Rhinolophus ferrumequinum: one gene and its partners. The protein of the gene in region 3 purifies or fractionates together with the protein of the main gene of each other region. This does not show direct contact. Links are inferred from orthologs where the notes say so. Each region holds a gene or a part of one and is shown on either strand. Other genes may lie near its edges. The genes, in order: BSG, ATP1A1, VDAC1 and ATP5F1C.

The links.
Region 1: the proteins of VDAC1 (region 3) and BSG purify together in Homo sapiens (affinity purification with mass spectrometry; 3 studies listed by BioGRID, with this or other methods). This does not show direct contact. The link is inferred for Rhinolophus ferrumequinum from reciprocal best matches to the Homo sapiens genes VDAC1 and BSG.
Region 2: the proteins of VDAC1 (region 3) and ATP1A1 fractionate together in Homo sapiens (co-fractionation; 3 studies listed by BioGRID, with this or other methods). This does not show direct contact. The link is inferred for Rhinolophus ferrumequinum from reciprocal best matches to the Homo sapiens genes VDAC1 and ATP1A1.
Region 4: the proteins of VDAC1 (region 3) and ATP5F1C fractionate together in Homo sapiens (co-fractionation; 3 studies listed by BioGRID, with this or other methods). This does not show direct contact. The link is inferred for Rhinolophus ferrumequinum from reciprocal best matches to the Homo sapiens genes VDAC1 and ATP5F1C.

What each region holds. Positions count from the first base shown.
Region 1 is NC_046301.1:62,249,467-62,257,523, forward strand, and holds the start of BSG (basigin), read right to left. Parts: upstream 3,304-8,057; 5' UTR 3,188-3,303; coding exon 3,121-3,187; intron 1-3,120.
Region 2 is NC_046305.1:46,576,475-46,584,159, reverse strand, and holds the start of ATP1A1 (sodium/potassium-transporting ATPase subunit alpha-1), read right to left. Parts: upstream 3,185-7,685; 5' UTR 2,917-3,184; coding exon 2,905-2,916; intron 1-2,904. UniProt on the Homo sapiens protein: This is the catalytic component of the active enzyme, which catalyzes the hydrolysis of ATP coupled with the exchange of sodium and potassium ions across the plasma membrane.
Region 3 is NC_046307.1:10,066,894-10,074,548, forward strand, and holds the start of VDAC1 (voltage-dependent anion-selective channel protein 1), read right to left. Parts: upstream 3,244-7,655; 5' UTR 3,128-3,243; intron 3,043-3,127; exon of another isoform or gene 2,906-3,042; intron 1-2,905. UniProt on the Homo sapiens protein: Non-selective voltage-gated ion channel that mediates the transport of anions and cations through the mitochondrion outer membrane and plasma membrane.
Region 4 is NW_022680355.1:13,361,739-13,370,206, reverse strand, and holds the start of ATP5F1C (ATP synthase subunit gamma, mitochondrial), read right to left. Parts: upstream 3,200-8,468; 5' UTR 3,114-3,199; coding exon 3,058-3,113; intron 1-3,057. Other genes in the region: KIN (DNA/RNA-binding protein KIN17), read left to right, coding at 3,389-3,502, 7,105-7,199.

The DNA of each region.
Region 1 (8,057 bases), on a different chromosome or scaffold from region 3:
AAGGAGGCGCTGGGGCTGGGGCGCACCCTGCTCCAGAGCATGCCCACGCGCACACCACAGCATGTGTGCGTGTGGGCAGAAGGGGCACACAGACGTGTACCCACAGAGCGCACATGGACACACACACACTCATGGCCCTGGCTATGACCCTGGGGCCTCAGACTGTCTGCTTTGGGGTGAGGTGGCCCCGAGACCCTGGGACAGGTGGACCTTCATGTCCCCTCACCTGGGATGACCCAAAAGCAATTCCCAGGACTCAGGACAGGAACAGTTACAACCAGACGAAGGTGTGAAGCTGGAAGCTGGAAACTTCTGTGGCAGTGCCATTATCACAAAAGAATCACCTCCCGGTAATCCACACTTCTCAGGAGTCAAAACTTCCCAAGATTGCAAAACACCAGCTATGTGCAGAGCTGGAAGCAATGAGTCAGGGCTGGAAGCGAGGCCCAGGCAGGCCTCCTGCTAGACAGGCCTGCTCTCTACCCTAGAGCCTCAGCCCCTGCAGTGCTCTAATCTCCTCACCCAGGGCCGCTAGAAAGCTGGGTCAGATCTTGTCCCAGCTGCATCTGCCTCGGGTGTGGCAACAGAGGTGGCCTGACAGCCAGCCTAAAGCCCCTCGGGCCCACACCTCTGCCCTGGCCTGAAGGCCACACACTGCAGGGGACCAAGCCAGGCCACACTTGGGCCACATGACAGTGGTCACCCGAAGGAGCCCGTGAGCTAACCACCATGTGGCCACCTCTCTTATGTACCCTCAACAGGGCCCCGTCACTCCCAAGGGTGCGTGTAAGTGTGTGTGTGGAGGGGTATCTTAGGCATTAGTGGTTGTGACCCTACTCGGGGTCACGCACAGAGACATCTGTGGTAGAAGTGATGCTAACATCTGTGATAGTAAAACAATACTGGGACAGGACCATTAGGAAAAAGGTCTCAAGGGGCTTTCTGGGAGGACGTCCATGCTTGAGAAAGTTTGAAAAGCACATCTTCTGGCAACCCCTGGCCAAACCCAGGGCCTAGGAGATGGTGGGGAGCAACCCCAATCCACAGGGAGTGGAAAGTGAAAATTGCATTCCAGCCCTGTGACTGTAACCCACGCTCTCAAGTAAAGTCACCTTCATCTAAAAACAGCCACCCCTGCTCAGTGCCCACTAGGCAGCCAGGCTGGGGAGCAGGGCCAGGCAGGCCTCGTGGTGAACTGCCCAGGAGCTATCAGGATGAGGCTGCAGGTCCCCACCCTCCTCCCACCCACAGCAGCACTGCAGGCCCCAGATAGGAGCCAAGAGCATTTCTGGGGACCAGCCGTGGGCTCCCCACCTCACCACCCTCCTCTCCATCCCACCAGGAGGCAGTTCAGAGAGGCCAAGTCATCAGCCCTTGGAACCCAGATGGCAAGCCCATGCCCTCCCAACGTGCTGGCCGGAATGACAGGACCCCGGGCAATCCTAGGGATAGCCAGGGTCTCCCAGCAGAGCACCCAGAGCATTCCTGGGGTGCTGAGCTGGCCTGAATATGCAAACACTGTCACTAAGTCACTCCTCCCAGGGAGAAAAGGAACATGTGGTGACATCCTCTGAAAGACTTTCAGATATTTTCAAGAGTTCCTGGGAAAGGGGGAGCTGTCAAAAGTAAAAAAGGAAAACAAAACAGACAGGAGTCCCAGGGGGTCAGAGGGCATAGTGAACCCCATGCAGGGAGCATGCAAGAAAAGCCCCCAACCTGCACCCACACAGAGCCTCCTGGCTTCCTGGCTGGGGCTCTGAGGCGAGGAGCACACTGGGGGGCTGTGCGCCACAGCAGAGGAAACCACGGTCCCTTAACCCCCTTGGCTGTCTCCAGCCACCGAGGCCCCAGCTGCTTATCTTCCGAATTCACTTCGACTACGGGTCCTACGTAAGTCTTTCCAGAGAGCGCTGGTGGGCAGACAGGTAGCCCAGAGGCATTCGATAAATGGCCGTTTTGATTATAAGAAGAGGAAGAGGCGAACTGAGATCTTAAAGTAGGTCAGGAGTAAGCCGGTGAAACTTCTACAAGAGGCAGCCCCTCCAGGGCTCAGTGCCACAAAACTTTCACGTCTGCACTTTGCTCCCTACATGCCGGTCACTAAATTGGTAACCCAGAACCAGAAAGAAAGTCTCCACAGGGGAAGAAAACGTCTGTCAGGCTTTCTCCTGGAAAACTGCACCTTAACCCATTTTCCCCCCGAGCCTTCTCCAAACCACATCTGCCCACCCCTAAAACCCTGCCCACTCCTCCTAACAGCTCTGAAAACTGAATGCTGTTTGAGAGTCTGTATACACAACCTTTTCCACTTCCTGCTCTGAACTGGGTGGCCAGGGCGACCTCACGGTGACCTTGGAACATCCCCCTCCCATCCGGAGCCTCAGTTTCCACCCCTGTAAAAGGAGGCTGGTGGATTAAACCAGTTTTATCTGTGCCCAGAAATCAGACAAAACCTAAGGCAATAGAGCATGTCGGCCTCCCTACAAGGGTTTAAAAGTTTGGGTGAACACCAGGAGCAGATGCACACCCAGGAGAGTCGGGACCTAAATCCCAGCAAGAATGACAATCCCTGCCAGTTCGACGGCCGCCAGCTTCAGGGACGCTCAAGTGCATTTGCTTCCAGCGTCCACTTGAGGACAACAGCCCGCTTTCCAGATAAGAGCTAAGCGCCCCAGGGAGTCCGGAGGGCCCTTCTCGCCCCTTGCCCCGCACACCCAGGCCGGGGAACCTCACCCTCAAGTTGCTTCCTCAGGTCCCTGGGCCCCCGATCCCAAGACCCAGCCGCTTCGTCCCTTCCCCAGCGGGGGAAGGGTGGGGGGCCGCTTCCAGATCCCCTCCCCAGGTGCCCTCACCAGGGGTCACAACAGCTCCCAGACCCCGCCCTCCCCCAGGCCGCCAAAAATCTGGGACTTCAGTATCGTCCTGGTCGGATCCCCGAGACCCCAAGCCGGGGCTTCCCAACATACCACCTCGGCGGGGAGTCCTCGGAGCGCCCCAAACCCCGGGCACTGTCTCCGCCGGAGCTCACGGGTTCCCCTAGGAGGACGGGGCTTCACCTCCACCCCCGCCCGGCTGGACCCCCGAGGGCGAACCCACGGCCCCCGCCCGACCAGTTCTCACCCGCCCCGGTGCCTCTGTCAGCGCTCAGCAGCGCGAGCCCCAATACTACAAGCAGCGTTGTCGCCATGTCGCCGCCTTGCCCGACGCCAACCACCGCCCCCGGCGCTGTAATAATCCAAGGGGCTGGCTGGGCGCGCGCACGCAGGGCGGTGTCGCAAGGGCGGGGCGCGCTGGCCGCCGCCTGCGCACGCGTGTAGACGCACGTACGCACGCGCTGGCCCTGGCAGGCTTGCTCTACGGAAGCCTGGAAGGCGGCGCATGTGACTCCGGCGCGCCACGCCCTGCGGCCTAGGGGCGTGGCTACGTTGCTAAGAAATGCGAGCGAGGCTTTCATTCTTTTAGAAAGTGTTGAGAACTGAACTGTGCACTCAAAAGTGGCAAAAATGCTCAATTTTTATTATGTGTATTTTACCACAACAAAAAAACATTAAGGGATCCTTGTGAACAGGTGGGATATGTTCCCTGGGGGGACAGGGGCTGCCAGGTTTAGCAAATAAAAAGACCTGGACCACGGTTAAATTTGAATTTTACACAGGGAACGAGTGATTTACTAGCGTAACTATCCCGTGCAACGTGTAGACATAGAGATGCAAGAAAAATACTCGTTATTTATCTGATTGTTGCTATTTATCTGAAATTCAAGCATAACTGGCAGTCCTGTGTTTTGTCTGGAAAACCTACCCTGAGGTCCCCATGTTTTACCGTTTTTCCCCGAAAATAAGACCTACCTGGAAAATAAGCCCTAGCATGATTTTTTCAGGATGCTCATATTATAAGCCCTACCCCAAAAATAAGCCCCAGTTAAGATTGTCAGCCAGACGGACACATTTAGTATGTCTGTTGCAACACACGACTGACGTATTGAATTATAAAATAATATTTATATATAATTAAATATAAATAATATTATTGGCATTAATACTTAAATAAATGATAATATAAATTATAATTAAGTATTTGTAAATACCCAAGCGGGCGCCTTCGGATAAGAGGTAAACGCCTATGTAAACACATGAACTCGAAACTTATTGCCGAATGACCAATCAGAGTATAAACACAACTCACGAATAACGTGTGCACTTGATAACGAGCAGACGTGGTTGTGTCTAATATGAATCTTCATAATTCAATACGTTGCGTATTGTAATGGACGTACTTAATGCACTCTTGTGAAATAAAGAAACCTTTTCTGAATTTTGGTGCCTGCAATTTTTCACCGCTTTTGTGTGGACCATCATTCTTAACTATCATCATTTTTGTTGTCACTCCTGTCTCGTAGTCTTCAATTAACTCTTGATTTAATGGTACGTTTAAAGGGAATAATATTTTGACCCCCAGACAAGATGAGAAAGAGCTATTCTGTCGAGTATAAGAAAGGACTCGTGGATTACTCCTGGGGCAAGAATCTTCCGGCTTTCTGCAAAGAGAAGAAGTTGGATCTCCGAATGGTCCGAAAATGGCGAGCAGAGTACAATAACCTCAGTCAACAGGTGGACGAGGGAAATGCTAAGAAGCGCAAGTGTGGATCAAGTCAGCAACCATTATTTCCTGAGCTGGAAGAGATCATCTGTGAATGGATTGCTGACAGGAGAGCAAAGGCTTTGGTTGTGCACAGGGCTGATATTCCAGCATTTGCCCTTGCAATGGCACCACAGTTAGAAATATCCCCAGAAGAATTCAAAGCATCACAACACTGGCTGGATGGCTTCCTTCAGCGATATGAACTGTCTCTAAGATCGACAGCAGTGTTCAAGCTGGAAGATACTGAAGTTATTAAATGTGCACTTGCATTCAAGTCCTTTATTGATGGCATCGACTTTTCTAAATACCAGCTCTCCAAATGTGATGGCTATGAATGAAACTGCAGTATTTATGGGCCAAGGATCTCAAGTGACAATTGATCAGAGGGGTGCCTCGTCAATCTACATTCCCTCCACTGGTTACAAAAGTGCACGTGTTATCTGTATTTTGGCAATTCATCTGGGTGGAAAGAAAGCCCCACCTCTAATCATCACTAAGGGCGAGAAAAAGTTGAACGTGTTTATGTTCTTAAAATAAAGAACGCCTGGTGCACACAAGCAATTATAAGGAAGTGGGTCGATTTAATGCTGCAATTTGTTTTGCCATTTGTGAGGTGGCCAAAGAGGTCTGCTAGTCTGGGATTCAGCCAGCACTCACCGCGCTAAAGACATGAAGAACTTCCTTGCAGAGAGAAGAATAGATCAAATAATGATTCCCGCAGGAATGACTGCCTATCTGCAGACTCTTGATATTGCAATAAGCAAGCAATTCAAGGACGATTTGTGCATGGAAATCAATGACTACATTGAAAATAGAATGGAGAGAAATCAGCGTGGAAACTTTGTGAAGCCTAGCCTGCAAGAAGCCGTGACTTGGGTGAAGAATTCATGGGATAAAATCACTGACAGCTGTGTTCCCAATGCACGATGAGCAGGCTACATGGACAAGAAGTGCTCATTTAAGGAGAGTTCTGTTGCTGGACATGAGAGATTGGGGCCAATGGTTCTACAGGAAATGGAGTCGCAAGAAATTCAAGCTGGAATTTGGAGTTTGGAGAGTTATGACGATGTTCCAGAAGAAGATGACATGACTGTATTCGAATAAATGCAGATTTTTGTACATGAATAAATGAATAAATATAGATTGTTGTACATGAATAAATGTAGATTGTTGTACATGAAAAAGTAAAACATCCCCTGAAAATAAGCCCTAATGTGTCTTTTGGAGCAAAAATTAATATAAGACCCGGTCTTATTTTTGGGTAAATACAGTATAACAAATGCTTTTTAAAATGATAAACTAATTTAAAACAAAAATAGAATAATGTAATCTTCGTGATTTTGGATTAGGCAATGATTTCTTATATATGACACCAAAAGCACACACAATGAAAGAAAAAAATAAATGAGACTTCCTCAAAATTAAAACCTTTTGTGCTTTAAAAAACAACAAGAGGCCGGCCCGGTGGCTCAGGCAGTTGGAGCTCTGTGCTCCTAACTCCGAAGGCTGCCGGTTCGATTCCTATAGGGGCCAGTGGGCTCTCAGCCACAAGGTTGCCAGTCAACTCCTGGAGTCCCGCAGGGGATGGTGGGCTCCTCCCCCTGCAACTAAGATTGAACAGACACCTTGAGCTGAGCTGCCGCTGAGCTCCCGGATGGCTCAGTTGGTTGGAGCGCAAGCTCTCAACCACAAGGTTGCCAGTTCGATTCCTTGAGTCCCGCAAGGGATGGTGGGCTGTGCCTCCTGCAACTAGCACCGGCAACTGGACGTGGAGCTGAGCTGCGCCCTCCACAAATAAGACTGAAAGGACAACAACTTGACTTGGAAAAAAGTCCTGGAAGTACACACTGTTCCCCAATAAAGTCCTGTTCCCCTTCCCCAATAAAAATCATTAAAAAAACCAAGAAAGTGGAAAGATAACCCACAGAATGGGAGAAAATATTGGTTAATCATGTATCTGATGAGGAACTTATATCTAGGATATATAAAGACACTTACAACAGTATTTAAAAAAAAGATAATAACCCAATCTGAATGCACTTTTCTCCAAAGAAGATATGCAAGTGGACAATAAGCACATGAAAAGGTGCTCAATGTCACCAGCTATCAGGGAAATGCAAATCAAAACCACAGTGAGACACCACTTCACAGTCACTAGGATGGCTGTAATAAAAGGCAGACAATAACAAGTGTTGGAGAAGGTGAAGAAACTAGAACCCTTGTGCACTGCTGGTGGGAATGTGAAATGGTGCAGTCAATATGGAAAACACACCAGCAGTAACACACAGAGTTATCATCTGGCCCAGCAATTCCACTCCTAGGTATATGCCCACGAGAACTGAAGACTCACAGCCACACAGAAACTTGTGTCAACCGAAGGTCGTCCTCAGCAACAATTCAGTACCACCAGGAATCCCTAATTTGGGGTACAGTGAAGGGGAACGTGATTCAGGCATCATAGCCCCAGCCAAGGAAACACAACATTAAATGGAAACTGAGGATGTGCTCTACAAAGATGGCAGGGAGGCAGACTTATAGAGAAGTTCCCACGCTGGTCCCTGATTGGTCCACTTCTATGCAAATTGGACTCCAAATTTTCACAGTTTGATTGGTCTGAATAGGACTGCCCTGATTGGTCAAAATGGAGCCACTCTGATTGGTGGGGAAAGATGCAAAGAGGATATTGCTGCACAGATCCGATTGGACGAGGCAGGTCTTTGGCCCATTGGTTGAATTTCTATCCTAGGAGCTCTGTTCCAAGGATTGACTCAGCCAGCAAGGATCACAGAGCAGGAACCTGGCAGCCCAGTCTGTGTGGATTTTCTCTAACATGAAGCTTGGGTGAGAGGCCCCTCTAAACAATTGTTGCTCCATTCTGGTTATGAATTACAGACAGGCAAGGCCACTGTTGACATAAGAAATGTCTAAGCCTGTAGAGAATTTGTCTTGCGGGAGACCCTGCTCACTGCGCCATTTGTCGTGCAGGGCGGCCTGTGGGGTCTCTGGTCCCGCTCCCCACATAAGAACGCAGGATATGGTGAGGCCAAAAAGGAACACCCACGGAGCCATAGGTAGGGGAGTCATACGACTATATTCTCTCTGGTAGCTGGGGGAGACACACGCAGTAGTAGCCACACTATCTGCAGTCCGCCATTCACTTCTCTGCCTGCCAACCAACCAACCAATCAACGCAGCCCCGCAGTTATATCAGTAGCCAATTGGCTAACCAGTTACAGCTGATGGCCAACCAATTACAGCTGATGATCATTCACCACCCAGGCCAGCACCTCCCCAAGAGGCCGAGAGCCTGGAAACTGCTCTCTGGGACTCTGTCCCCACACTCCACCCCTCCAGTGTCTTGCCTCACAATCTACGTGGCAAGCATAGAAAAAAGCATTGGCCAAGTCCACTACATA
Region 2 (7,685 bases), on a different chromosome or scaffold from region 3:
CGAGCACTCTGCCTTACAATGTTTTCCGTCTAAAGTACTAACTTTATAGCAGCCAGAGAAGATTTAGTCACACTTTCAAGTTGAGCTCCAAAAGGGCAGCTGATAATGTTACCATACAACCAGGATTTCTGCTGACATGTGTACCCCTCGTCCAGCCTTCACCTGAACCCTTTTCCCTGCTCCTCTTTAAACCAGTACCCACGAGCTAGGATTTATTTTCTAGGTAACTAAGTTAATATTCAAACAATGGAGAACTGCAGTGAAGGACCTGGTGACATCCCTGCCTCCCCCCCCCCCCAATCTTTTGTAACCGAGAAGAGAGCGTTTCTGTGTACCTTGGTTGAGCTAAATAGTTGTGAGTGGCAGGCCTAGCTAGGGATTTAAGCCAAGTCACTGGCAAAAACACCCAATATGAAAAAAAAAGGGGACAAAATCCTATTTCATCCAGGAATGATTCAGCTGTTCTTTCATTTTCCTACCGAAAGCTCAGGAACTGGAGTTTTAAGGAGAAATAAAATCACCTGAAATATCATCAAAATCTAGGCAATCCGAAAGTAGGAAGAGGGGAAGAAATTAACAATGACCTTAAAAATGAGCCGCCAGCACAGGTTTCCTGGCTAACCAATTATCAGCTGGGCTTTAGTCATCACTCCACCCACATTTTAATCCTCATGTGGAAAAATCCCAACATTTCAGCATAAAATATCCTTCTGGACATTTGGACTGTCACAGTAAGTCACTGGGGACAAAAAGGGTAACTTTATCCCAGGAGAATCACCACCGATACACACACACACATACACCCTTAACGTTCAAATTATCAGAGTATCCAAGACACTAATTACAACCCAGCATATAAGGGGCATATCATCCTGTGTTAACCAGCTATAATTCAATTTTGTGTTTGCTCGCCTCTAGACATTTTATTGGGATTCACGAAACACCTTGCTTGAACCTACCTCCCCAACAAGGTATGTTGCTGACTTGACCAATACTATGTATGTGTGTGGTTATGAAAGAGACACACAGAGAGACATAACTTACTCAAACATCTCTCTGGTCCATTAATTCATGATCAGAAACACCCCCGGTTCATCTGAAGAATGACTTGAGCGTTCTACATATAAGGCAACTGTTAAGCAGTGAGTGAGTGTTCAGGCTGCGGAGGCCACAGGCTGTTCAGGAATCAGGGACATCTGGTGTGTCATTAACCAACCATTTGACCTTGAGCAAGTCACTTCACCTTCCTAGGCCTCGGGGAGGGTATCTATGAGCTCTACACCCGCCCAAATCAGCACTGTCCAGCTCAAGAAACAAAACTCTTTTTTATTTGAGGGGGGGCAGAGATAAAGGAATGAGCTTTTAAAGAGCTTGTTTAGCGGCATGACCTAAGGTTTGACAGTGCGGTACAAACACGGGCCACTAACCCAGTTTCCATCGTGGGGAGTAACAGGCTGGCACTCAGCTCTTGGCCTTCAGCTTCTTGACCTGCGCCAGCCTTCCCACATTTTGTGCTTTGAAAAGATACAAGTTGTGCATTTCCCACTTATCCCTCTCGGGTCCTCCAAGCCTTGCAATTGTCTCCTTCAAAACCCATTTGGAAGTCAGGATGCACCCTCCCTTTTCCCCCAGCATTCACTGCACCGGGAAGAGCCCTGCAACATTCAAAGGCCTACTAAGTGCAGGCACAGCGCAAGCCCTAGAGCTAAGGGAGTGGATTCTCTCCTACCAGTATTCTCACGACCTAGTCATCTTATGCCATGAATTGATGCTTTTGGGGTTATTTTGTATAATTTTGTATATTTTGTATATATTTGTATACATTTGGTATATATTTGTATATTTTGTATATATTCCTCAACTAGATTCTTTGGCCCCGCTGGGGTCCCGATTATCACCGCTCCCAGTGACAGAAAGGTAGGAACCAGACGTGCTCTCCTTTCCTGTCTCGGATCCCCCTGGATACCTCGGGAACCGCTCTCCCGCGGCTCCACAGTCCTACCACCGCCGACTTGTCCTCTGCCTCCAGTCCTTTTTAGGGTTTATCGTACCCAGAAGCCCTCGTCGGCCAGCCTGTCCTCCTCCAAAAAAATCTACATACCCCTCCCCACTGCAGTTGCCCCGGGCGCATCCTGTGTTTGTGGAAAGTGTCCCAGTAAAGCTCTCGGAAGTATACCTTAAAGGCCATCTTAAGGCGGGTGAAGGCACACCCTTGCTGGCACCAGCCCGCACGACCGGCTCCACAGTCCGGGGAAGCCAGTTTTTTCCTTTGGGGGAGGGCGGCCGTCTCTGCGGGAAGCTGGCTAAGCCCCGGCGCCTCCAGGAGAAGGAGCCTCGTACCCCACGGCCGCCCCCGCGTCGGAAGCCCCTACCGGCGCCCCGGGCCGCGGCGGGAACCGCAGCCGGGAGGAGCCCGGCTGCGCGCCCCAGGGGAAGGGGAGGAGCGCGCCTGGCCTCCGGGCACGGAGGGCGGAGGGAAAGAGGAAGGCGAGAGATGGGAGGTGAGGGCGGGTGGAGGGAGGGAAGCGGGCTCGGGGATGCCGCCGGCGGCCGGCTGCTTCCTGGGGCGGCCCAGCGCCCGTTCGCCCTCCTCCCAGCCCTGCGGCTCAGAGCGCCGGCTCCGGGCGCCCCGGGCCACGGCGCGCTCGGAATGGGGGGGCCCGCAGCCCCTCTCCCGGGGCCGCCCGCCGTCTCCCCAGCGCTCCCTGCCCCCGCCCGCCGTCCCCCACTGCTGCGCTCCCTCCATTTCCCAAGTGCGTCGTCTTTTAAGCCTGGCCGCTGTGCCAGCCCCCGGCGCGGCGCTTCCTCCTCCGCCGCCTCTCGCCGGCTGCGGTCGCCCTCCTGACTTCCTCCCCGGCCTCCGGGGCTCCCCGCGCCCCCGGCCCCAGCTCTCCCGACACTCACCCCCTTCCCCATGGTGGCGGTGGTTAGTGCGCGGCGCGGGGTCCCGCCGCTTGAGAATCAGCGAGAAAAGCAGAGAGCAGCTCGCGGCCAGCGGAGCAACGAGAAGGGAGCTAGGGCTGCCGCGGGGCGGGAGGGAGGGAGGGAGGACGGCCGGCGGTCGGGCCGATGCCGCCGCTGCCGCCGCCGCCGCCGGGCTGCTACCGCTGCTGCTGCCACGTGTCCGCCTCCTCCCGCCGCTCCTCTGCGCCCCAGACCCCGCCGCAGCTCCAGCCCGCGCCTCCTCCTCACTTCCTAAAATATGCAACCTGCGTGCTGGCCCCGCCCACGCCCCTCACGTCACCGTTACCGGAGCAACCTGACACCCGCCGCCGGCCGGACCCCGCCCCCTCTGCAAACCCCACCCCCCAGACCCGGGCCGCGCCGGCTGCGGCTAGTCCCGACTCCCGGCAGGAGGGCGCCGGCCCCCCGGCGCGCGTGCCCACGTCTCGGGAGGCCGCGGCCGAGCCTCTGCGGGGCGCGGGCTGGCCGGGCAGCGCGGCCTCGGCGGCCATGGAGCTCCCGTGCTCCTCCCCCGCGCCGCCCTGCGTGACCGGCCTGCTTTGTAGGGCCCCGAAGGTCCGCAGTGGTTGCGGGGACGCTGTCGGAACTGGGCTCCCCGAATCTCCAGGGAACCGGGACAGAAACCTCTCGCGGAGGGGCCTTTCCACTGCATCAGGAAGCTCATCTGGGATGGAGGGACGCGCCGAGGTGGGGGTGGGGGTTCAGGTGTGACTGCAGCCCCCGCCCGCCTGAGGGACTCCGCTTCCCGGCGTTGTCCTGGCCCCGAGCCCACCAGCTTCTCGGTGCCCTCCCGAAGGCCTCCTTAGGTCTGGGATCCCCGTTATCCACTTCCCTCTCCGCCCCAGGAGGAATGGGTCTGGGCTGGCCTTGCCGGAGGCCCCAAGCGTCCTCCCCAAATGACAATGCAAAGGACGTCCAATGAATTCATTCAGGCAACTGTGTGAATGAAACCTGCTTGTCCAGTTTGGTGATTCGCTTTTTAGAGGAGGAACACCTGAAACCTTAAGGAATGCATATCGTTAGCGAAAGGGGCCGACTGGAGGGGAAGATGTTTGACGACATGGCTGGTGCCTCCCTATGCCGCCTACTGGCACAGCAGTGCTCTTCCAGTGCCGCCTTGGGTGCTCTGAGGGACCCTGGGCACGAGTGTGAGGATGAGCCCCGGACCTCCACGCCCACCCCCCACCCACCCCCATCCCCACCCCCAGAGAGCCCTGGCCTGGCTGCCTTATGGGACTTCCCTCGCATTATGGCTTCTGCTTCTTAGCAGAGGCTGCAGTGGCTGGAAGTCTCCATTTAGAAAGCAAGGTAGTAGTATTATTAACAATGCTTTCAGGAAGTCAGTATTCTCCGGAGAAAGTCATTCCACCTCTCTGTTAAATACTACAAGAAACAAGGAAAATATTAACTTCCTAAGCAAGTAAAAGCTGGCCCTATCAACTCCAAGTATTCATTTAACAGGAACAAATAGAGATGGGAAGCTTGAAAGAAATAGGGAGGAAAGGGAAGGAGGGAGGGAGGCAGGGAAGGAATGCTAAGGTTTCGGTAATTCTTAGTCTTTCTTAGAAGAAACTGTTTCTTCTCTTGCCCAAGAATGTGTTGCTAAGGGCTGGACCCTCCTCCCCTGATCCTGGATCCTCAGGCTTCGTTAAATCATTCCATGCCAGGAAGAGCAGAAATTGTAAGTGGAACTCAAATTTATGACTGCTGGGGAGAGAGAGCCCCAAATCCAGAGTCCCCAACACTGCTAATTCAACAGAAGGCATTTGCAGAACGTTATCAGGGCTCCATCTCCAAGGGTCTAGAAAACGCTTTCTTTACAGGCCCCGTGACTGCTGGCCTGTAGGAGACTTGTGCTTTTTACGAGATCTCTTAGCTTGTCTAAGATTCATCATCCCTTGGGCCCTGTTCTGAACGGAAAAAGTGCAGCAAGAACAACAACCAAATGGAGAAAGCAAAACTCTGAACGATGTGGATGTCTCCTGCCAACTGAGCTCCTTGTTCTCCATAAGTAAAATTATCCTTTTTCCTTCCACAGTATAACCCTGATAGATCAAGGCATTTTCCTTTGTCGCTAGAGCTGTTTGTTTGGCAGCTGAAGGTCCTTCCAGGAGGACCTCCAAATTCTAGCTGTATTCCAGAGAGGGGAAAAGTTAAAAAATTGTTAACTAAAATCTGTATGTTGCTTTGGCCTCCCCATAGCACTTTTTCATATAAAAATCCTGTTGGATTCTCATAAGTTTGGACGGTAAAGGGCTTTAGCTGCATTTTTCCAGAGTGGGAAATGGGAGGCTGGGGGACTTTCTTCTCACAAGACCACTGAGTTAGTGATTCGGGGAGTTTGTCCTCAAAATTACAAAATAACATCTTCCCACTTTGAAAGCTTGCTCTCAGAGCGCAGCACCAAGGAAGTTTGGGTGGGAGAACAGCCATTGTTCTCAATGTTGCAATCCTCACAAATACAGTGTTTCCACATGCCTCCCCTTTTGTATTACCAAGAAGACCTCAGCTAGAACCTTTTCTTCCTATTTCCGCTTTTCATCAGTTTATGGGGCGCATACGCCCCTCAGTCCCCGGTTTCTGGCCCACCTGATCCCCACCTCCAGAGGCAAATCCCATTCCATTTTCAAAATTCGTAATGCCATTTTCCATGTCAGTCCTATGGAAAGAAAGATATTCCACAGAAACTTTTTAGAATATCAGAAAGGGCCTGGCGATTGTTCCTCTAAAGTCAATGCTTTCTCTAAACGTGATCCCCCCATACCAAGTGCTGTGGTCTAGGCACTGGGCAGTCTTCAAGGGTGTTTTTAGGGGTAAAGATTATTGCCAGGACTTGAGGACTAATTTTAGGAGGTAAAGGGGGAAAATATGGTAAAGAAGCAGGCGTTGCCAACTTTTTATGGGAAAGAGTGTTGGGAAGAAACCCTACCCTGTTGTAATATGGAGCCCTGGACACACCTATGGAATTAAAGACACAAGGACAGCATGGCCAGGACCAAGGTTTCAGAAGCAGAAGTTTCAGATGCAGGAGAGGTACCTTGGAACATAGGCAACCAAGGGGGGAAATGTCCTTTTTTTGGGAAAGACTTCCTTTTTCCTCTTGGGAGGGGCTTCTGATTGGAACCTTAGCGATCAAACACGCCCCTCTTTTCACAATGAAGAAACTGAAGGCCAGAGAGTATGGGCGCTGGATAGTCCCAGGAGAATAGCAGAACCTTTGTGTATCTTTTCAAACTCCCAGAGAGGACGGTACTTCCAGAAGAGAGGGTGGGGTGAGTTCTGCCTCCCTATTCTATCTGCCTCCGTTCAGCTCTTTTTAAGCACCTAGCGTGGAAAACAATGAAAGGAATTGCCCTAGAGACTCAACATTTACAGACCCCAAGGCTGCCAAGTGTTGAGGAGGGTTTGACACCACCATGGAAGGTTGGCCCAGTCATTGTGAAAAGAATCAGCAGATGTATGAAAAATATGATGCAAGTCAGTATTTTGAGCCCAAGCGCCAGCACTTTAAGTATTTGCTGCATTGAACAAATACACCATTGCAATTAAGGGCTTAAAAATACAGGTTGCAGCCTACACCAAGTAAGCATTTTCCATAGGCAGCAAACGTTTGGGGGATCGATGAGCTAGGGATCTGGAAGGACAGATCTAGCATGGAAACAATCTGATGTTCGCATCTTTATCTTTTTCTATTTCCTCGGCACCCCAGAAAGCTACTTAGCTGCCACTCTCCCTGCGTTAAAGCCAACTCTTCTTACCACCCCAAAGTTCCTCCTCGCCAGTGTACATCCCACCACTGCAAATCTATTTCTTCTTGTCCAGCAGCAGACGTATTATCTCCTGTTTTAAAAGCGTAGTTCTAAACACTCCACTGACCATCAAAAATCTGTCAGCTAAATAATTCTGACCCTGTAACTTTTCCTCCAGACTCCATTTTCTACTCATCTCTTCATTCTCTTTTAAAGCTCTTTAATATTCTTCTAAGCAGACTTTTAGCTTTTTAAAAAATTGAATTTATTAGGGTTAGTAAAATTACATAGGTTTCAAGTGTACATTTCTATAACACATTATCTATATATCACAACTTCTTTTCTGTTAATGATTTTGAAGCCCTCAAGTTTTGCTTCCTGAAATCTGGAAAAGTCAGCCTTCACACGGTACCTGGCCTGGGGTCTGTTACCAACCTCACAGAGTCAAGTCCTCAGTCTTTTCCTCGGCTTCCCTTTAACACAACTGCCACTGAAATAATTGGCTCTTATTAATGGCAGACTTTGTAAATAAAACAGTGTTAAAGGACCCTTTACTTGGTTCTCATGTGTTTTACATCAGATCCTGAAATTAACAGCCAGGATTCCGTCTTCTCTCACTCTCCCTCATACCCTTCTTTGATGCCCCTAACGGCAGTTCAAAACACTATGAAGTGTTACAATATCCTGCCATGTACGAACTCACCCTTGGTTTTCGACCTATCAACAACCACTGGGGCATCACAAACAAAAATCAAATGTCAACAAAAAAGCAATTTGGACCGAAAAATATTCTATTGCCAGAGTCATCTGCATCCAGACAGTAGAGATGACAGTAGAGACGTGGCTTCAGGCACAACCCAGCACGGGCAAGCCTGATGCAGAGGAGGTGGCAGCAGAAAAGTGTCATCTAACCCTTCTTGTTCCCAGGGGAATGAACATACACGGCCGTGAGCCCTAACTAAGGAAATGAGT
Region 3 (7,655 bases):
CCCTTGCAACAAATTGGGGTGACTCCCCTGACCGCTATCCCCTGACAGCTGGCCTACACCCTGCTATGGACCTGGCTAACTCTGATCAGTGTGAACAAATAGCGCTTCCCCTCTGAACAGCAAATTCTACTTTTCAAAAAGCACTCCCATCTACTAGCTCCTCGCAATGGCCCCCTGGAGTGACAACTGCAGTTTGAAAGCACCAGCACTGGAACTAGCCAGACCAGACCCTGAACCCCAGCTCCACTGCTGCTGAGCTGTGTGACCTTGGATGCTTACCTCACCTCTCTGTGCTCAAGCCTTCTGAACCATGAAATGGAAGCAACAGTCACTCTCTCCCAGGGCTCGTACGATGATGGATTCAATGTCACAGAACATATGTCAAGCCCCCAGGAGGGTGCTGAGCGTGCATTCAATAAACAGTGACTGTGATGATGATGACACTTTCATACTGGAGAAACTGAGGCACAGGACAGTGACTAGATCTGTACTAGACCCTACGGCTGTGTTGCAAGCTCCATCTGCTCTCCAGGACTCTTTCCAGTACAGTCTGGGTAAAGCGCTTAGATTCCCACTCACCCTCACCCTCCTGAGAGCAAGCAGGAAATGGGAGCATTGTGCCCAGGCCCAGCTGAGGACCCCACTGCTCACCTTTCTTCAGGGGCTACCAGACGAGTCACAGGCCCTGTGAGCCCTGAGGGGCTGCTTGCAGGCTTGCTGGCCCTCAGCCACACACATACCTCTCAGTCTCTACCATCAAAGCTATCACACTGTGAGAGCAACGCCATCCAGGGCACCGTGGACTTCAGCACCTAGGGGGCATCTGACCAGGGAAGGTGGGGGTGAATGTGCCTTGTCAACACCAACTACGCAGTGGTCGTCCACATCCGCCTAGAGTCCCGCCGGACCAGAAGCTCACGGGCCCCGTGAGCCCATGTCTGTGTCTATCAAGAGCCCTGCCTATCGCTTTAGAAGAGCAGAAATAAAACTAATCAACTGAGAGCAGCCCCTGGCCCCAGGGTCAAGCACTTCATTCAGGTCAACTCCAGCAGAAGCCCGTGGCCCATTCACCGTACGAGGGACGAGTTGACAGCCCAAGGCCTTTAGGAGCATCCCAGCCACCCGTGTCACCCGCCCTGCAAACCCAGAAACACTAGTTCAACAAGTTTCCCACAGGACTTGGAAAGTCACAGAATGAAGGTAACGCCTTTGAAGGAGTTATTTCAAATGAGGGAAGTTTCGCCTCTCACTGCTCTAGGGCTGTATAAACCCTGGCAACCTGACTATGTGTGACTCTCTGCTAGGCAAGGCTACTTCCTGGAAGTGAGTGAGATGCATGTGTCCCTCCAAAAGGATGTCCAGGATCAAGGCGCTATGGTCTGGTCCTGCAGTCGCTCCACACGCCCATTCAATAACTCCACAAATCCTTAATGAGCAACTACTATAAGCCACATGTTGGAACAGCAAAAGCTATGTTGTCCATAAGCTTGAGTCAACTCCTAGATAAAAAGCAAAGTGCATGTACCCCACAGACCCTTCTTAAGTACCTACTGTGTGCCAGGTAGCACCACAGGCACCAAAAACAAAGCCACATAGGGCTTATGCCTGAGGGTGTAGAAACTCAGTCTACAGCTAAGGTGGACAGAAAGAAGGTAGGCCCTGGGCAGTCTACCTTGGCCTTGCCAACAGCATATTAGGCAAAGGAGCCCATTTCCCCATCTCCTCTGGAGAGGGTAGTCAAGAGGATAGGGGCCTCAGGTGGAACAGGCCTACCTCTGCACCCACATTCGACTTCCAGTTCCACCTGGATCCTGTCTGTAAACTTCAGGGATTTTTCATGAATTATCATGAAAGTTACTCAATGCCTAGCACACAAATGCTTAATATTACCTAATATGTAAAATATCAGGGGCAGTGTTTTTTGAATCTTTTCCAGAACACCACGTGGAGCAAACCAGTCTCCCCAAAAAGGCTTGTCAAGGCTTCTACCGAGGCTTTCTCCTTGCCAGGCACTGTTCTGAAGGCTTCTTGTCCATCAACTCATTTTATTCCCAAAAACCCAACGAAGGAGAGGTATAATTGCTCCCAACCTATAGATGGGAAAACTGAGGTGTGGTATCCTCCCAGCTGTGTGACCTTGGACAAGTCACTTGGGCTGCGGGCCTCAAATCGAAAGCGGTGAACCAGTTTCGAGAATGCACCGCCTCATTTGGGTAATGAATGAGCGCCGGAACCAGGAACCCCTGCTTAGGCCGAGAGACCGGCCACATCGCTCCGCGGGGCCTCCTTTTCCTAGGCCTAACCTTCTGCCCAGGGCCCAGCCCCAGACCCCGCGGCCTAAGTCAATTCTCCGCCTCCCGTTCCGCCCCGAAGGCGCTGGCACGCGCGGACAGTGTCCGGCGCCAGCTTCTCCGGGCGTAGGCCGGACAGGGCGTGAGGGACTGGGGGCGCCGGGCCATGGTCGCCACGGTCGCCCCGCGGCAACAGCGCGACCTGCATACGTCCGTGGGCCCGGCCCCGCGAGCTTGGGTAACAAACAGGTCCCTGCCCGACCCGCGCTTGGCGGCATCGAGGGCCAGAGGGCGCCGCCGGGAAAGGTCACCTAGACCTGCAGCCGGCCGGGCCTCCACGCGGCGGCCCGTGTCCCTCCGCCCTAAGTCCCCGCGGGCTCTGGCCCCAAGCCGCAGGCACCTCCGGATGCCCGGCCTCTCGCTCCCCAACCCCGGCCCGCTCGCCACCCGCCCGCGCGGCCTGCTCTGCAGCCACTGACCCGCCAGGCCCGCGGGCCGCTCCCGCTCCCTCCCCGGCCCTCGCCGGTCCGTCCCCCATCTCCTCCCCGACTCCCCAGGGACGAGGCGCACAGCCCGGGGCGCAGGCAGAGCCAGGGCCCTTCGGCTGCGCCTACCTCGGAGGCGGTGGCGATGGGCTCGGCGGCGGCCGCGGAGGGGGCTGCAGCGCTGGGAACTGGGAGAGCAGCGGGGCCGAGGGCGGAGCGGCGCGGACGGCGGCGGCGCGGACCCGCCCCGACCCTGCGCGTCCCGCCCGGCGAGCTCCGCCCCGGGGCCCGCCCCGGACACCACCCAGGCCCACGCCGGGTCCCGGTCCGGGTCCTGAGCCCCGCACGCACCTTTCTGCGCCCCTCAGTGCCCGCTGCGGACGCCAGAGCCCACGGGCGTGCGCGGGCTTGCGTGAGGGCCCGCGTGCGCCCGGGCCCGGGGCGGCGGGGCTGACGTGCGCGCGGTGTGTGCGTGCGCAGGAACACGCGTGCCGGCCGCCGGCGCCCGCCAGTCTCTGCTGGAAATCCCGCCGGGTTGACGCATCCGGGATGGGGGGGCGGGGGGCTGTTCCGGTTAACGGAGCGTCGGCCAGGGATCCTCTGAGCTAACGCAGACACGCGGGGTCCTGGACCTCGTGCTCGGCCTTGCGTTTGGGAGACAACCCCTCTCCCCCAGGAGCTGATGTGGCTGGCGGGTGGCGCTGGACCCGGACCCAGCCTGGGTGGACGAGGTGACCGCGGGTACCCCAGAGCAAAGCCAGCGCGGGGCTTTAAATCGGGCTCCCAGGCCCCGATTGGGGATCAGGCGCCCGGGCAGCGCAGATACAGAGTAGCGGCCACGACTGTTACTTCTTCGCTCCCGACACATTGTTTCCGGCGCCGCGGACCCTTCTCTACGCCGGGCCCGGCTCGTAGAGCCCTGCGGTGCCAGGGGGCAGCGCCCAGAAAACCCCTGTGCGCCAAGTTTGCAGTCCAAATTAGCAGTTTTCCCCGGTAGCGAAGCTGCTAGCAGTCATTTTCGGAGCGTTTGAGAAGTGAAAAAAGCAAATTGCGTTTTGCAAGAACATCTGCTGGGTCTCATGGTGCTCGGGAGGTACCACAGGTTACAACCAGCCCATGGCCTCTTGGGGAACCCGGAACCGCGTCCACCCGGGCCCTGCCTCCTCGCTGAGCTCGGATAAAGCGCCTAGAGTCACCCCGCTAGGCCTACGCGGGTGGTCTCCATCACCACTGAGTGTCAACGGCATCCCACGCGAGGGCCATCCCAAGCCGACTTCCCCAAGCCGCCTTCAAGAATTAAGGAATTCGTGGCGTGAAGATTCTGCACAGCCTTCGCCTTCAGCCAATTTTCTTCAAGTCTTGAGGCGTCTAGGGCCCCGTACTCCGGACTACAGAGAGAACACTCGCTCACAACCAGCTGTGGCACAAGTTAAAGGAGTAGGCACGCTTCTGGGGCGTCCCAAGAAGCAATCAGACCGGCTGCTGGAAAGAGTCGGCAAACTTAAATGAGCAAGTGGCAACTGGTGTTCCAATGGAGGCAGCTGTTGAAGAAGGGAGCTTAAGAGGGGGAAGGGGTGCTGACAGGGGGCCCTGGGCTCTGTAGGGGGCTCAGGTCTGATTGAACATGTGAGGAGTTGCCCCTGAACCCCTCGAGGCCCTGGAGAGTAGAGGACCTATGCTAGAACTCTCCCCAGGACCATAAGGTTCTCCATGGCTGACTGGGAACTCAGGGCTTCCCAACCTGGCTGTCCCCACCCCACACACAAAGGCCCCAGCCCACTTTTGGACAGGGTCAGGCAGGGAAAGTCACAAAGTCACCCACAAGTGCAATGAGGCAGTTTGGGAGGACAGGCCTCGGGAAGTAGGGCAGGACCAGGTGGTTCTGTCGAGAGAGGGGATTCTGGAAATCTCACATGATCTAGGAGCAGGTGCCACACCTTGGGTCAGGGAAGCCCAAATGTGCTGCTTAGACCAAATGTCCAAGCTGCTCCCTCCCCTCTACCAGCACCTCCCTGCCAATCCCCCTTCCAGGACCCGCAACCTGAGGAGAGTTCCCCATGCCCCACCTGCTCTGGGTCCCTTCTGGGACTCCCCTACCTGCCGCTTTCAGATTAATCACCTGAGCACCCTTTGGGTCACTTACTGGCTGTGTGACCCTGCACTGTGGGCCTAACCTCTCAGCTTCAACTTCAGGGGGTTGTTGTGAGTTTAAAATGGATTATGTAACAAGTAAGCACTCAGAAAACGGTGAAGAAATCAACTGGGACATAGAAGCCCTCAGACCCTAGTGTTGACCTCTCACCACTGTAGTCCTGAGGGAAGAGCTGAGCCAAGGCAATTTGTCATACCAGGCTTACCGACCCCAGCCCCACCTCCACTCTGGCTGCCACTGCTGATTGGGCCAGGGATGGACACCTGACCTGAGACCAGCCAATCAGGTCCTCTCTCGTAAATTTGAAGTAAGAAACCCAGGTAAGGTGTAACAGTTTTTCTTTGGAGGAATGACCTTTCTCCTCTCAGTACACAATCCTCATGCAGCTGACTCCAGGGCCATTCTTGAGGTAGCCCTGTGACTCACCCTGGCCAATCAATACACTGTACTCCCCTGGCCACAGGGATGGACCAGTGAGACCCAGTCAGACTTCCTGGGGCTATTGAGGTAAATACTTTAAAAATGAACTCGGCCCACAAAAGAGAGACACCAGGTCCTGGGGACAACATGTCCTGGACCTAGCCAGGCCTCACACCACCCTCTGTGCTATCTGGGCTGACAAATTCCTTTTTACTTAGTCCTGTTTGGATTAGGTTTTCTTCCAGGTCCTACCTAATTCAGTTCCACTCCTCCCTTCAACATCCAGAGAAGATGAGATTTTTCTTTTTAATGCTGGAATGGTTGACTGGTGTAAGAATATTTCATTCTAGGGAAATTCTTATATCTAGCTTACAGGCATAACGTTTCTACTATATAGGTATATAGATATTTACAAAGAACCTATGTTGAAACACTTTCCACACTTCTTTTCAGGGCCAGATGTACCTCAATAAGATTTCTTAATACCGTCTTTGCCAAGTAATCAGAACAGAAAGATAAGGTCTATGAAAGTAGAAATGGAAGATGTAATATATATAATTTTTAAAGAGAAAAATATTCTGCTTGTAACCAGCATGAATGAATTAGAATATAAAACTGAATTGTCATAAAACCTAACCTTTCTAACCATATTCCAGACTATAGTCTAGGTAGGAGCTAGGCTTGAGGATGTGTGGTCAAGAATCTCAGGGTGTACTCTCCACATTGTGCCCTGACACTCATCTTCCAGGGAAGGACCTAGCCTGGCCTCCAGGTTCTGACTGACATGGAGAGCAGTAGTCAGCTGGGAAAACAGGATGAAAACCATCCCAAGATGAGCATAATAAAAATATTTCTCTTGCGTACCCCAAAATATGAGGTGTCCTAGATCTAAAATAGTTCCAAGGAGTTCTAATATCATATCCATGTTTTTACAGAGAGAGAGAGAGAAAAGTGGAAAGAAATGCATTAAGTGTTAGAGAAAATTGTGTTTCAATTTAGGAGACTATGATTTTTTTCCTTTGGCCCTTTCTATATTTCCCATTCTATTAATGATACAATACCTTTACTATAAAAAGAGAGAAATTTTTAAGAAAGCCAAACGAGGTTGATCAGGAGAGGCTGTGTAAACTGACACAATCCTGGAAAGCACTTAGGTGACATGTAATAAGAATCAAAACCTAAAACCTACTCCCTCTGACTGTTTCTGGGAACCTATGCTATGGCAATAATCCCAGCCTAGCTTCAGGCAGATGTATAGCAGCCCAGAATGGAACATAGCCTGGTTTCCAGCTTCAGCAAACTGAAGCACATCCCCTCTATAGATTCAGAGCCTTGAGGAAAGAAGGTTACAAAGACTTCCTGTGGGGAAATATTTCTGTTACAATGCTAACTGAGGGCAACCATATATTTAGTATTAATGCAACCACAACATTAAAAATGAGAGAGACAAACCATGGTAGACAGAATAATGACTTCCCATAGATACCCATGTCCTAATCACCCAAACTTATAAATATGTTACTTTGCATGTCAAAAGGAACTTAATAAATGTGATTATATGAAGGATCTTTTTTTTTTTTTTTAAGATTTTATTGAGGAAGGGGAACAGGACTTTATTGGGGAACAGTGTGTACTTCCAGGACTTTTTCCAAGTCAAGTTGCCGTCCCCTCAATCTTAGTTGTGGAGGGTGCCGTTCAGCTTCAAGTTGTTGTCCTTTCAGTCTTAGTTGTGGAGGGCGCAGCTCAGCTCCAGTTCCACTTGCCGTTGTTAGTTGCAGGGGGAGCAGCCCACCATCCCTTGCGGGAGTCGAAGAGTCAAACCGGCAACCCTGTGGTTGAGAGGATGCACTCCAACCCACTGAGTCATCCGGGAGCTCAGCGGCAGCTCAGCTCAAGGTGCTGTGTTCAATCTTAGTTGCAGGGGGCTCTGCCCACCATCCCTTGCGGGAGTCGAGGAGTTGAACTGGCAACCTTGTGGTTGAGAACCCCCTGGCCCATGTGGGAATCGAACCAGCAGCCTTCCGCGTTAGGAGCACAGAGCTCCAACCACCTGAGCCACGGGACTGGCCCCCTGTGTAAAGGATCTTGAAATGGAGAAATTAACCTGGATTGTCCAGGTGGGCCCAGTGTAATCACAAGGGTCCTTCCTATAAGAAGAAGACCGGGGGGTGAAAGTGAGAGGCCATACAACAAACAGAAATTGGAGAAAAAGGGAGAGATCGGAAGATAATATGCTGCTGGCTTTGATGATGGACAAAGAGGCCATGAGTCACGTGATACAGGCAGCCTATGGAAGCTGGAAAAGGA
Region 4 (8,468 bases), on a different chromosome or scaffold from region 3:
TGGATTACCAGTCTCTCCTGTATTCATACAGCATTGTTAGAAAAGCTGAAGAAGGCAGTGGTGGAAGGAGTCAGCGAGGTTGCTAGATGAATGATTTATCAAAGACATTACAGATGCCTGAGAGAATTTCAAGGAGCATATAAATGCAGTATAATATAAAAATTAAGGAAGTAGCAGCAGCCACCAATTGTTAAGGAAAACAAAATTATGATGTGTAATTATAACACAGAATGCCTGCGTGCAAGTCCATCACCTGTCCCTCCACTAGAAAACAACTCCCTTGCACTTCTTCACCAAGACTCAGCCCGTGACTGAGTCTTCTTTGGCAAGTACAATAAACCTTCTTACATTCTATTTTATACAGTAGAAACTGTAGTTATAAACTCGGTCTCATTTTTCAATTGATACGTCTGGGTCCACAGCAGCATATCTTCCACTGCCCTCAGTTCTTTACAAATACTGACTCCTTTAGCCCTCACATTCACCTATTAATTGTGTAGTAGTATTATTACCTCCATTTAATAGGTAAGTAATATTAGAGACAGACACTGAGTAACCTGTCTAAGGTCACACTGCCAGGTGAGTGGCAGTCAGGATTCAAAGCCCAGCAGTTTGGCTCCAGCCCACCTCTTGTACCATACATACCCTGCTGCCTCCCGTTTTGTACATCTGCTTTCTCAGCCTCAGGTGACAATCTGCCTTTTCTCTCCTGAAATGCCATCTCCCTTCCTTTTCAATGTACATATTTCAATTTATGGCCACTGCTCTATTATAAAATAGTTCCATTTTAAAGAATGTAGAACACTAGGGAATAGAAATGTACTGTCCCCTAATTTGAGACAGAAGAACAGAAACTTTTCCCTCCAGATTTCTTATTTCCATTTTCTTCTATGCTATTTTTTAAAAGTACAGGTTTAATATATAAAAATTTGGGGTACTTTCTAAGTATGACTCATGTTTACTTAAAACTAGCATGCTAACCCCCCTAAAACAAAACCTAACAATGACAAATTGTACATTTCAAAGCTTTCAATAACCAAGAGAACCAAGAAAATGCCACTTGGTTCTATTAAAGCAAAGGCATTTTTCTTTCTTTTCTAATTAATTCTGTGGAGTGTGAATCATTAATATGGTTTTCATTTCTGAATTTAAAAGTCAATTATAATGAATGGGAAGCAAAGGGGCACCAGAGGCAGTAAGACGTCAGGCACCCAGAGTGACGGAAAATGTGAAAAGGGGACAGAATATGCTTTCCATTGAGGAACACTGATGGCTGATGAATATTCATAACCTACCAATTTAAAAACACATTCCAAAGGGATGAAGATCAGAAGCATGACCTTTATTTGCTGATTGAGGTTCCATTTAAGGTCCTGGCAGTAGTTGTCACAGATTGAGAGTGAACTCATAGTTAAAACAGCTCTTAATAAAAGATCTTCAAATTGTCTTGTAGGATTTTAAAAGAAGTTATTTCCACAGTATTATGTAAAATACTTGTCCTCGTTTCAGGAACTCTGCATTTAAAGATCAACTTAGATACCACTTTATGGTTCTAAAAATAATGACCATTAACATGAATGCACAGCAAGACGGGAAGGAAAGGAGAGCTGACTGCTGAGCCTCACTGCATCCATGAACCGCTCCACGAAGCAAGACCGCTTATGTCTGTTCACCACATTTCAGCACTCGCCGCACTGCCAACCTGGTGCAGCGCAGGCACCTACCAACTGTCAAGTGTCTGCCGAGTGATTAATAGTGGCACAATCTGCATGACAGAAGTCCACTTACGGTGAGTTCTTAATTCCCACGAATACTTTTTTTCAATAGTAGGCAAAAAAGAAATCTGACTTCCAAGGCAAATCCACCAACATTTTTATGTAGCTATTTCATATCACAATTACTTTATTACCCTGAAAATCTTGTCTGTTATAAATTCTTCGCTTAACGAAAACCACACCTATTTCAATTAATGACTTATAGTCCCTTCACATAAATTTGGATACAAAAATCGTTTTTGTAGCATCTTAGAATTCTTCTCTACTGTAAAAACGGGGAATTGCGACAGACTACAGCTAATAAACCCCTTAACAGTGTCTGAAATTCTCCTGGATTCTTGTCTAGCTTCAAGGTATTTCATCCTATTATACGGTACGACCACAAACCAAGTTTAATCTAGCTATTCCTAGGCCTTCTAACATGCAACTTTTTTCGGGAACCAATGTTTAAAATCCTTAAAACGTGCACGGCAGTCGACAGACGGCACTTAGCTCTATCTCCTCTTCCCCTTCAGGACCTTGGGACAATTTTATGACCTTGCAGGGTTACTGCTTCAGCGTAATGGTTTCAAGATAGTGCTTGGTGTCTTTCCCTTCCTCGCCAACTGACAGATGTGTAAGGTCCCGTTTGCACCTCAACTACCATCAGCCCACGAGGGCACTTATTTGATTCACCAGTGCCTAGCAAAGCGTCTGCGACATGGTCGGTGCTTAATAAACGTTCTGGCCGAATCGAACCGCTCTTGAAGAGTTACTCCGCTCTGCACTGGCCCATGCAAACTCTGCCCAGCACTGCAGGGTTTCAGTGGGTGTCAAGGACACAGAGTACAACTTAACCTTCCCCTAGACCTTGCCTTAGGGCCTCCCCCCCCCCGACTGTGTGGCTCCGGGTAAAGATAGCATGATACTCGCTGCCAGTCACACAGCGGGAGCTCCGCAAGTACTTATTAGCTGAATGAATCCAGGACCGCCCTGAAATTAATTCGGACTAAGGTCTCAATACCGAGGTCCCAGAGGACCACTCCTCGTGGCCTTCACCCCGCCCCACCACGCCTCAGGAGACGTGGCGTGACCGAGAGGTCGCTCCAGTCCCTTCGCGCACCCTTCCCGGATCGGAGGCGCTTCCTGCAGCCCGAGCTTCCCGGGGCCTCCGTGGGACTGGGGGCCGAGCAGGCCCTGCAACCCCTGTTCCGTCCGACTCGCTTCCACCCGCTTCCTTTTCTCCCTCACCGAACTCTTCCATCCCTCGCGACCCTCCCGTTCCTACCGCAAGCTGCCATACCATTGCGGCTGCACGGCCCAGGCCGAGACCCCCACGACGCCCGCCCGAGAAAACATGGTGGTACTGGCCCAAGCTGAAGGTCGGTCAGACAGGCCTCAGCGCGCACGCGCAGGAGACTCCCCACCGCCCCTCCCAACCCGCTTTCTTCTTCAGTCTCGCTGTTAGCCGCCAGGCTGAGGGAAACCTCGCGAGCTTTGGGGGCTCAGCCTTCCGAGGCTCCACCTCCTTCCGGCTCGCAGCGGCTGTTTGTCCCGCCCACCCCTGTCAGCCCCGTTCCGCTTCCGGTTGGCAGGGCACTCGGTTCCAAAAAGTAATCGCTGCAGTGGTCGCGATGGGGAAGTCAGATTTTCTTACCCCGAAAGCCATCGCCAACAGAATCAAATCCAAAGGGCTTCAGAAGCTGCGCTGGTATTGCCAGATGTGCCAGAAGCAGTGCCGGGACGAGGTAAGGCGGCCCGGGATGGCTCATGCCCGTGCCTCGTCCTCTCCCCTGGCGGGGTCCGGCTGGAAATCCTGGCTCGAGTCCCTGACGCTGGAGGTGAAGGCCTGGGTCTCAGGTCCCTAGTCGTGGGGTCTACACTGGGCAAGTCAGCTACTCCACTCAGTAGGGACATTCCTTCCTGCAGCTCCCGTCCTGGTGGGGAACCAGTGCTCTTTGACGCCTCTGTCTTCCCCAATCTGCCCCCAAAAGAAAAGAAATACGAAAAAGAAAAGGTTTTGCGGTTCTTGTAGAAGTGATCCTACTCAAGCTTTCATAAAACGGAGGCCTGAATAGTTAAATGCCGGGACGCCTGGGCAATAGAAATAACAATCACCTCTGACTTGACGTGCCTCTTAGGAGAAACAGGATACTTAGGATTCACAGCTCTTTTCGGGATCAGATGAAAAAGGAGAAATAAGCTCTTGTACACTGCTCATCTAACAATCATATTTTCAGCCCTTAGTATGTGCCAGGATATTATTATTAAGGTGTGGACGCGAGTCAGACTGTCAGAATTATAAAGCCCAGCCGCACCACTTACTGGCTGTGTGGTCTTGGGCACGTTACATTCTCTCTGCCTGTTTACTTATCTGTAAAGTGGGAACAATAACTGTACCTACTTGTAAGATTGTTGTGAGTTTTAAATGAATTATGTGTAATGTGAGTCGGGGTCTTTGGGCAGATCTTGAAAAGCCTTGTATGCCTTGCTGTGGAGTTTACACTTTTCCCCACTAATGAGGTGGGTGATGAAGAGCAGACTAGTGATGTCATCGTATTTTCCTCTGGAGGTCTAGTTGGTAAGGACGGAAGAACACTGGGGAATTGGAATAATCTCATCTACTGTTTCTGCAAGTGAGGGATGAGATGTTTTAGGTGGGACTCATATTGAATAGCATTGATATGGTTATTCTCTTTCATTTCTCTTTAGTTCTTTCCATTTAAGTCAAGGTGAAATTCTCACACAGAAAATGAAGACCAGTACAATGAACATCCATATGTCTATTACCCAGATTTAACATTTTAAGTATTTTGCCATATTTACTTTTTTAAAAAATAGTTTAAATTATAAACAGAAGGATATTTCACCTCTAAATATTTAAATATCCATTTCTAAAATATCAGGATTTTTTTTTACAGTCACAATATATGTCATCAACGCATAACAAAATTAAAATTCTTTCATGTTGTCTGATACATGTTCCATACTCATGTTTCCTCACTTGTTCCCCCAAATGCTTTTCAAATGCTTAAGCTAAGATCCAATCAAAAACTATGAATTGGATTTGGTTATTAAGGCTTTAAAAAAATAGACTTTATTGTTTTGAGCCGTTTTAGATTCAGTGCAAAAATGAGTGGAAGATACAGAGATTTCGTGTGTGTGTGTGTGTGTGTGTGTGTGTGTATGTATATACACACACCCTGCCTTCCTTCATACATGTACAGCTTCCCCCGGTACATTTGTTGCAATCAGTGAAGTTACACTGACACATCATTATCACCAAAGTCCATAGTTTACATTAGGGTCGCTCTTGGTGCTGTACATTCAATGGGTTTGGACAAATATATAATGACATGTATCTACTTTTATAGTATAATACAGAGTAGTTTCACTGCCCTAAAAATCTCTGTGCTCCAGGTCATTAGGACTTTTAATCCTCTCTCAATTCTGAATTTAGAATAGCACTCACTCCCCGCCAATTTGTTTCTTGAATTGACTTAAGAGACTAACTCAGTCAGTCATCCGGGAGCATTCCCACTTTCTGGATATGTTGAATTGTTTCCTTGTGATTGTCTTTTGCCTTCCTTCCCTAACTCTTGTAGTTTCTGTAAACTGGAACTTAGACCTAAAGGCTTGATTAGGTTCAGGTTAAACACTTTGAGAAAGACTGCTTCATAGATGATCCAGTGTATTTCATATCGCATCACGTAGGGGAGCCCATATGTCCAGGAGTGCTAAGGTGACTGAGTAAAGATGACAGCCTGTAATGTTAGGAAGTAGTATTTTCTCTCTTGCAAGAGCGAGTAACTAGTGGAGTGATTCTTTGGAATCATGGCCATATATCTATTTTCCCATCAACCTACCTACATGTGTTTTAGCAACTTTGCCTGAGTCAGTTATTTCATTAGGAGCTGCAAAGTGGTTATTTTTCTAATTCTTTGTGCATTTCTTATTGGCTGTCAATTATTTGTAAAAATGAGCTTCTCATCAGCTAGTTTTGGGTTATTCTCACATGTTATCCTGCAATACAATTCCTATGGGAAAGGGAAAAGAAATGCTTAATCTTTCTCCTTAAGGCATTTGCGGTGGTCCTGGCCTCTTTGCCCCCAGATCTGTTCATTGCCCTTCACTACCAGGGAGTCCAGCCTGGGGGAGGAGAAGTTGACCCCTATAAATTCCCTCCTCTGTCTTCTGTCTCGATATTGGAAGATAGAGGGGGAGAAAGGTCAGATCTAGAGTATTCCCTTCCTTCCTTGGATTTCCAGGATTTAATAACATTATTTTGTTTTCACTTTGACTTATTTTTAATTTGGGGAAAATGGGACTGGTGTTTCATTTATGAGACTGATACTAAGTTTTCTTTTAAGATATATTTAAGTAAGAGAGATGCAAAGATGAGCAAGAATTTTGTAGGAGGTCTGTGGATGACTGAAGATTAGGAAAGTACCCTAAGCAAGATTCAGTGTGAAATCAGGACAATGGCAATGGGACGAAGAAGAGGTTACGGAGAAGGCTGAGTAGACCTAATGACGAATGGAAAGTGGGATGAAGGAGAAGACACTGGGAAACAATCCTCGTCCTGGCGTGGTGACTGGGTGTAGAATAGTGCTGTTCATTGAGATGCGGGGTCAGGAGAGGCACGTTTTTCATTTCTATTACTAGTGAAGAATCAGGTTCAAGTGGTAAGTAGAACAGATACAAAGTCAAAACTTACATGTTTTTAACAATCATCTGAAGACGATACAGATTTAGTATGTTTAACATGAGGTTCTGTAATATGTAATAACGTATTTTGAGGTAGTAGACTTCGGGGGGCTATCACTCTGTGAGGGGTGTAAATGTCTACTCATTATGTTGAAACTATAACAATAAAAAAATTGATGTATTTTGGATAATGAGATAAAGGAAAGGAAGAGTGAGTGAAAAATGGTTTCCTTAGTGGAAATTCACTAATGACCTATTTTATTTCACTATATCCCTCGAAATGCTTCCATAACTCTCTGTATGAAGTAGGTACTCAATAGGAATTGGTTAAATTTAGTCAAAAACAACAACAAAAAAAAACAAATTCACTCTTCTGCTACTTTGCCCAGTAATGTTTCTAAAGTACTGTTTTTCTGTCTCTTTAATCCTGGGGATTAGTCTTTGATTAGCAAGGTTGCTAAATTCAACTTCGTAAAAAAAAAAAAAAAAATTTAATGATAGGGTGCTTACAGCTAATGATTTGATTATTTTTTACAATTTATCATCAAAGAGCAGCTTTTTAGGGTTTAATTACATACTTCTACTCAGGGCCCATTACGATGACCTAAGTCAGAATTTAACTACTGCCTTTATGTTTTTGTAGAATGGCTTTAAGTGTCATTGTATGTCTGAATCTCATCAGAGACAACTATTGCTGGCTTCAGAAAATCCTCAGCAGTTTATGGATTATTTTTCAGAGTAAGTAACTCAAAGACATCTTTATCTCATAAGCTTTATTCAGTTGGACATTTAATAGATGCTTAATACTTTATATGTCGGTGGCTCTGTTTATTCCTTACATATTAACATGATAGCTATATTATCTCTGTGCTCAGTTTTTGTCTTCCTTTGCCAATTTATCATAGTATGAAATTGTTAAGAAAATAAAGTTTCTCGCAATTCAGCCTTTCTTTTTCTTCACTTTAGACAAAGGAAACTGTCTTTTAGCCTGATTTTAAATCCTTCAAATCCGAGCCTCTCCATTGTTTTTCTGTGCTTAACTTTCCTTATCTGTAAAATGGGACTAAAAATAGTACACTCTTTTAAGTATTATAGTCCCTTCATATGGTTTATATGAAGATGAAAGGAATTAATACTGTTAAAGTGTTTAGAAGAATGCGCCATACACAATATTAGCTGTTAATTATTATTATTACTATTAATAATTAATCTTGCTTCTATCCATCTCTTTCCAAAAGTCTAGACCTTTTGGTCTTAGGACCAAATTTTACAGTCTTAAAAATTATTGAAGATTCCCAAGAGCTTTTATTTATGTGGGTTATGTCTATTGATACTTGTAGATTAAAACTGAGAAATTTTTGAAAAATATTAATTCATTAAAAATAATAGCAAACATATTACGTGTTAAAATAAATAACATTTTAATGAAAAATAGCTATGTTTTCTAAATCAAAACAAAAAAACAGTGATAAAAGTAGCATTATTTTATATTTCTGCAAATCTCTGCAATGTCTGACTTAATTGATTTTCACATCTGCTTCTTGCATTCATTCTATTTTAGAATGTTTTGGTTGAAGCACGTAAAGAAAGCCAAGCCTTTACATAGAGTTGTAGTTGGAAGGGGGGGACAGAGTATTTTAGTAGTCTTTTCAGATAATTTTGAATATTCCGCTTTGGTATTACATCACAACACAATACGTGGTAATTTCTTAAAAGTTAGTTGCAATGTGGAATTTGAAACCCTATCAGTGAACTTTTCGTACTCTTTTACATTAAAGTACATTGAGTCAAAGTGAAAACTTTGACTCTGGATTGTGTACTCATGCATGATTTTGTAAAGCCATGCACTGGTTATTTGGAAAATGTTGGTTCACTGAGTTACACAGATCTTCCGAATGGTGATACATTTTATTATGCAATATCATAAAATCATATTCATTAATCTCAACATCAGTGTTATCAGAAACATCTTTTAAGTATTTGGAAGCATGTCAAAATCGTGGTAGA